Linked DNA regions of Solanum lycopersicum. The protein of the gene in region 1 binds, or shares a complex with, the protein of each later gene. Links are inferred from orthologs where the notes say so. Each region holds a gene or a part of one and is shown on either strand. Other genes may lie near its edges. The genes, in order: small ribosomal subunit protein cS23 and small ribosomal subunit protein bTHXc.

Region 1 (3,758 bases):
AGGTGAGAATTCGAAGAAGAAACAAAGAAAAATGCACAGTAACACTACAAACATCGAATTAGATATACTAGTTAGAAAAATGATGAACTGTGTGCTACCTCGTTTACGAAATTGAGCACGATTCCTGCAAATTTTCAAGTAACAAAAAGTCGATAAGCTTTAGAATCTGTAAATTAAGATTACAACTACGAAAATATTCAATTCTGTTATCCGGCGAGAGAAGTTACCTTCAGTGTTATCTGCTTTAGGAGCCATGGATTGGAGAATTCACAGAGCGCGGGAAAAAAAACTTCTGTCAAAATTTCTGTACTTCGAATTCACAGGAAACATTGGGCACGAAGGCCTTTATACGATGTCGTAGTTGAACATCGCGGGAACTTACCCTTAGTATAGCCACTAATTACGAAAAGAGGATTCTTCCATCGCAAGTTTCAAGTGAGAGTTGCCATAGAGCCCATGGGCCTTGTTAGGATGAACCAACCCAACTAGAGAGACTTTACGGGCTTTTAGTTCATAATAAAGTCCAAATATAACGGGCGGTGGAAGATGAACAATCGCTAAAAAATATATTGAATTAAAAGAAAACAAAATCGGCCATGGTTTCAATTTTGTGCGTATAAAACTTGTTGATACTATCTTCATTTCACCTATCTTATTAAATTATTCACAAATTTTGATTATCTTATCGTCCAGTCAGAACACATTAAACAATTTAAAAAATGAAACAAAAATGATTCCAATTGTATTCTCCATCAACTATAGTACAGTTAAAAATAAGATAAAACAAAAACAGAAAGTTGAAACAATTTGTCTACAAATAAATACCAAAAACAACAATTAGGTCAAATTTCCACCACTCTGCTGCCACAAATTGATAATATCAGTAGCTTGATTAAGCAAAATAATCATTTGCTTTTGTGATATCCATGGCTTACTCTCTAGTGTTGTTTTCAACTCTTCCCATGCATCTTTTCTAGGCCAAAAAAAATATGGACTTAATGGTACACTTCCATGGTCTGGTAAAACTTGATCAAGGCCAAGTCCAATATTTTTCTCCATCCATATGAATTTTAGCACTAGCCTTGGCTTCTCAATTACCTTTTTCTTCATATCAACTTTCTGAAAAAAATATATCCAAGAATTCACTATAAGATATCAAAACATAATATCCTATCCTTTTTTGGGCTTATTATTTATATAGTCGTACGTATCTGGAATGAATTATGTGCATTCAACTGAACTTCTTATTTTCATCTTTAATAATGTAGACGTTTCAATACGAGTTTGAGTATTTGACACGGGTGGAAGTCAGAGATTGGATTTTGTCATAGGCGTATCTAGCTAGGATGAGTTAAATGTGTTCAAGTGTTCAACTGAATCTGTTATTTTTGGGTCAATATGTACATACATTATGTTGTTTTGGTACGGGTGCAAGTATATGACACAAATGTTTGATCTAGAGGTTGAATTCATCATCACTAAAATTTTAGGGCTCGAGGGTACGAATTGATATATCTAGTTTTTGTCGAAACATAACTTATATTTATAGGTAATGCTATAATTTAACTCCATTTTTGTTCTGTTTTTAGCTAAATGATCAATATATTTCCCCAATTATGCCTTTTTTTTATTAATTAAAACATTCATAAATTTGCTAGTTATTACTCATTTTCATTAAGAAGTTGTTGGACTACCATTTCATATTTAGAAAAGTCGAACAACACAGTACGTGTTAAATAATCATAGTAAAAGTGAATTCAAAGACTTAAAAATTCTAGATTTGTCGTATATATCAAATGATTCTAAAATATTACTATATTATCCTTTGAATATAAATTTGATGCTTTGGAAAATGTATTATATATTGAATAGTAGTATTCAATATCAAGGGTTTTCATGTTTTTCAAATTGGACAAGTATTGTTAGACGACTATTTTTAATATAATGACCAAGTAAAGATGGATTGAGGGAGTATTTACATTCTTAAATTACGTATCAAGTCAAAATCAGACAAAGATTACTCAATTTTACTAGTGAGAAGTAACACTACCATTCATGAAATTAATTGAGTAGCGCAAAAACTAATCTAGACACTAAGTTATCGAAAAAAGTTACCTAATTGAAAATTAAAGAGCTGATTTTTTACCTCAATTTCTTGAACAACAGACTCTGAAGTCTCAACTTCAACTGATTCTGCTTCTGCAACTGCTGAAGCAAAAATCTTATGAATTCTTCTTGTTGATAAACCTTTGTTGTTAAAAGATAATGAAGAACATGATTTGAAGGATTTATAACCTGGATTTTGTGAAGGTAAAGAAGGGATACTCAAATTGCCTTTCAAGCTAGATTGAACAGACATTGATAACATTTTTTGTGTAGATAAAAAAAATATTTGTCTAGTGATGAAAAAAAGTGAAGTGGGAAAATTGTGGCCTTAAAAAGAGTGTGTATAGAGAATTTGAGATAATGATAGAATGGATAAGGTAATAGAAGAAAAAAAATGAAAGTTGTTTAAATTGGGCTAAGAGGCCTATGGGTGAGGACTTTGGTCATGTTATGGGATTTGGGCCCAAAAGAAATATGATCATTAGTTATCATAGCTTTACTAATTTTGTATATTTAGCAACGTTGAGTTGATTCGGGATGTCAAACGAGCGGATTGAACAATTTTTTGAGAGTTAAAGTTGTGTTGATAAACGAGTGGTATCGATTTGTTTGAAGATTATAAATTTGAGATAAGATGGGTTAGTATTTTGTCGTAGTCTAATATGTTCAACTTTTATCAAGTTTACAATTCTTAGTAGACAAAACTTATGAGTATCAGATTTTTATAGATTAATTTTGTCATCCCTAATCAAATTGATCAATATTATCTGATTATTCAAAAAAAAGTAGAATGTATCTCATGGGTGAAGATTGTTCGTGCTTCTCAAATGTTACGTACTTTTTTAGGTCATTAGTCAGCAACTCTCTCGACAATGACTTCACATTACTTTTTTAACACGTCTATCATTATTATTTTTAGAAAATCATTTTTTGAGATAGATGTTGCGCCTTGAACATGTGGATGAGTGTGATATATGTATGCCTCTTTGACTATTCGTGAAATTAAATCTCTAATATTAACAAAAGAGGGGCATATTAAGAATGTCCTAGAGCTACATTCTTTCTTATTGGTATTAATAAAAAGCCATCTTTTTAATAAGATCTGAAAAAAAATTGAAAATGAAGTTCATATATCATAAATATTTTTCTTTCAATGTCATTTTCTACATAATTAGTAAAAGAGACGACTTTTGATATATATGTCCATGCGTACTACTCATTCAAGTTTATGAAGAAAAAACATTACTTGAGCTGAATTTTATGATATTGACAAAATCATATAATAAAAAAATAATAATATTAATATTAGTCATATTAATTATGAAGTGATCAAAATGAGTTGCAAATTTGAAGAAACCACTAATTCAATTCATACTTATAATTTGCCCTTTACATACACAAAAAAGTATATTTTTATGATCAATGTGACGCTTGGTTTTATTTTTCCTAAGAGCTAATATTGGGCTAGAGGTGTCGTATCCCGGAAGAACGGAGATTGATGATGATATCGTACATTGCATAATTGAAATGGACTGGATAAAATGAAGGTTCGTACTAGGGTACTATGTGATAAGGATGTGTTGTCAAGTCGTAAATGTAAGTTCTACAGAATGATGATAAGAACAACGTCAAATGAATGAGTTGAATTGAAT
Region 2 (3,691 bases), about 62 Mb from region 1:
AATTGTTCAAGAAATGCATCAAACTAAGGAGAAAAATGGTGAGATTCCCTTATGCTTCTGGTAATTTTAACTACAGAGTGGAGAAGAAGTTCCTCAAGACGTCGATTTAAATCACATATTTGAATAAATACTAACGTGAATGATCGATCTATTGTGTTTTTTTTCTGTAGGGAAATGGCTATATTATTTGTTCTTGATTTTCTGTGTCTAGATTGAGTAGAGTGATTTGCATGGGAGCTGTTCACCACCACCAACAACAACATCTACGGTTCAGTACCAAACAAGTTGAGGTCGACTATATGAATCTGTACTGTCATAGTTCGAGGTCAATTTTGTGGTCGATAATAAGTGAATTGAGTTCTCAAATTTTTGTAGAGTAGGGTATTTCATCTTTTGACTGACTTGTTATTAATATATTTTTGTATTTTTGAGTGAGTTTGGTAAAAAAAAAATTATAATCAATTGGGAATGTCTTGTATGATTAATCATTGTGTTACTTCCTACATTGTATATCAACGTACATTTTTTTCTTTTTTCTTGTCTTTTAAGAAATATTAAAAATATTTATTTTTTTACTAATTTACTGTTATAATTATTTTTCATAAATTCTATTTTTTGTGTCTTTATCTGTTAATAACAAAAGAGGAACTTTACAATATTTATATTTTTAATCAAAAAGAGTCGATTTAAGGTGCAAAATGGAAAAAAATAGAATTAATTTTTTAATTTGACAAGTAATTTTGAATAAATATCTTTGTTAATGTAGACAAGTAGTCTGTCATAGAGGTGTACTATTATCTCATTACTTCTCTTAATTATTATATATGTTAAAATTTCTTTATGTATGTGATGAAATCTAACTATATTTATACTCCCTCCGTCTCATTTTGCAATTTATTTGTCTATTTTCACACATAAAAAAAGATAATTTTTTTTCTTATTATATTCTTATTTAAGCTTCCTGAAAATTTTTAAGTTTTAATTCATCTTTTTCGAAATCATAATTAATAAGGGCAAAATTGTAACTTCACTATTCTAATTATTGCTATATTAATATGTTTGTCATTTCTAAAATGGACAACTAAATAGGAACAGATAGAGTTTGAGATAACACTATTATTCCTTATTTCTCGTTCCAAACAATCCTTTTCAGGTCTCAGTTTATTGCTTGATATACTTTTACATAAAAAATAATTGATCTTCTGATAACTTGAATTCACAATTTTAAAGTTTAAAATGAATGGTATTTACCATCCAAGTAACTCTTAACGTTTTTTTTTTTAAAAAAAAAAAACAAGGAAAAATAAGTGAATTTTACCTTAATTCAGGGGTATTTGAATAAAAAAAAGACAAAGGGCACATTATCTAGAAACAGAATAAGAAGCTATAGAACCACCACAAATAAAATCTCAATTCTATCAGTTGAGCTGCTGCAATGGCGTCGTTGTTAGTTGGTTCAGTTCCTATGAGTACTGTTCAATCCATGGCTTCTCTTTCTCCTAATTTATCATTCTCTCGTTCTCACTCCGTCGCCGGCAGCGTTTCAATTACGGCGGCATCTCCTTCACCATCAATTTCGTTTTCGTCTCTCACTGATTCAAATCTCCCATTGGGTACGAATCACATACCTTTTCGAATTTATTGTTTGTGAAAATTTTGTGATGATTGAAGTTTCAGTTCGAGAAATTGAAATTTTGATTTGATTTCATTTTCAGTTTACTGCGGTAGAGGTGATAAGAAGACGGCGAAAGGCAAGCGGTTCAATCACTCCTTTGGCAATGTGAGTTTGTATATTTTGGTTTATTGCAGGATAAGACCTCCTTAATATGATTTAGTTTCAGATACACCCCTGTATATTTTATAAACAAACACTTACCTCCTCTATATTAGGAGAATCCTACACTAACATTCTAGTTTGATACGTGGAATAAGAATAATAATCTCGAAATAGAATTTGAGATTAAATTTATTGCATATTTGAGTTAAAGGTATTGGCTTAAAATAACGAGTGTATCGAAGATGAATAAATAATTCCATGAGATATTTAATGTATTTATGCCTTTAAATTTTAGAAAAGAGAAGTATGTGTTTTGTTGAAATTGATAAATAAGATATCAACACAAATTACTTAATATGAATAATTTTTTAACTCATATTTGATTAAATGAATGTTAATTCCATATAAAATGATTTATAGATTCACTTGGAATAAGATTATTGGTGCATAAGGTTTTGCATAATTAATGCAGGAGTTTAATGCTTTTAATATTATAGAATTTTATACTGAGATTCAATTGTTCATACATTTAGACGAATTGACCCCTAAAAAGTTTTGAAGTTTATTTTTGATTGCAACCTAGATGCATCTCGACTAATTTTATCAATAGATGGGATAAATTACCTAGTGTTATTTTGTCTCTGATAGAATTTGAACCTGAAACCTCATGATTCTCGACCCTCTTCGTTAACCACCAATGTTGATGATAGATTCAAAATAGTCTGTTAAATATGCTCTAACCAATTTTTAGTACTTTGAAGTTTAGAGTGTTATCATCATACGTTTAACAATTTATGTTCGTTAGATTTGACAGAAATAGTGAAAAAACAACAGTTGTTTCGACATTTTTTGTTGTTATTTTGAACTGATTCCGATGGTATGAATTGGTTTAGGCAAGGCCAAGGAACAAGAAGAAGGGAAGAGGACCACCTAGGGTTGCAGCACCACCAGCAGCACCAAAGAGAGATCCATTTGATGATGGCCAAGTCGTTAAAATTGAAATACATGACCCATAGTTTTCTCGGAGGAGCAATTTCATTTTTATGTAGCTCTAATCTTCTACTACTTTGTTTATTTCATTGAAATATCGATTAAGTTAATCATTTGGACTGAGATTTCTAGTTTGCTTGAAGGGTCTTCGTTTAAATGCTCTTGTGTCCTGTTAAATTATGCATTTTGGTTCTAGCAACCTTCAGTAGACAAGTGGTAATAGTCACTACTTTAGCTATTGAGAAAAGTGAAAAGCTTAGAGAACCCCACATTCCTTATGGGTTGAAAACCACGAGGTTTTAGGTTCATATACTAGCGGAGACAAACACATTAGGAGGTCTTTTTGTAGAGTGTATAAGAATAGTAATATATAGTGTATTACTAATGCTGGGATTAGTTATGTTGGAGCTATTTCCTACCCACTATTTGGTTTGATATATTATCAAGGGCACTTTGGCCTCGAACAAAGAAAGGATCAAAAAATGTCATAGCTAATACATCCTACCAAATGACCCCTAGGTGGTTCTTATTTAGACCTTCGTGGATAGAATTACTCCATATCTGTGCTGGTTGGAGGTAACCTTTACCTCGAAGAATTAGTCAAGATGTGAGTGAGCAAATCCAGTCACAAAAAAACTTCTTTTGTTTGGGTCACCAAGTTTGTCTGCGTCCACTATACAATCATAAACCAGCTTTACAGCAGGACACAAGTTGGATAAATAGAATTCACATACATATTGGTTGAAGAAAATGCTGATTTTGATGTACAGGTTAAGCTAAGGACAAATAACCAACTCTTTTTTTAGGACCAAGAAATCCTTTAAGACCAATTGCAACCTTCAAAACTCGGGAATAATGGGTCCAACCTTCTACCTTCCTCCACTTAAATACCAGGCTTAGTCGGCATGTCATAGGGCTTGAACT

What was found.
Region 2: small ribosomal subunit protein cS23 (region 1) and small ribosomal subunit protein bTHXc share a complex: the UniProt entries of both Arabidopsis thaliana proteins name them as parts of the 30S ribosomal subunit. The link is inferred for Solanum lycopersicum from reciprocal best matches to the Arabidopsis thaliana genes PSRP3/1 and PSRP4.

What each region holds. Positions count from the first base shown.
Region 1 is NC_090804.1:4,043,055-4,046,812, forward strand, and holds small ribosomal subunit protein cS23, read right to left. Parts: upstream 2,456-3,758; 5' UTR 2,369-2,455; coding exon 2,147-2,368; intron 1,120-2,146; coding exon 838-1,119; 3' UTR 721-837; downstream 1-720. Other genes in the region: homologous-pairing protein 2 homolog, read right to left, coding at 99-124, 228-255. UniProt on the Arabidopsis thaliana protein: Component of the chloroplast ribosome (chloro-ribosome), a dedicated translation machinery responsible for the synthesis of chloroplast genome-encoded proteins, including proteins of the transcription and translation machinery and components of the photosynthetic apparatus.
Region 2 is NC_090804.1:66,172,146-66,175,836, forward strand, and holds small ribosomal subunit protein bTHXc, read left to right. Parts: upstream 1-1,212; 5' UTR 1,213-1,435; coding exon 1,436-1,613; intron 1,614-1,715; coding exon 1,716-1,780; intron 1,781-2,670; coding exon 2,671-2,793; 3' UTR 2,794-2,924; downstream 2,925-3,691.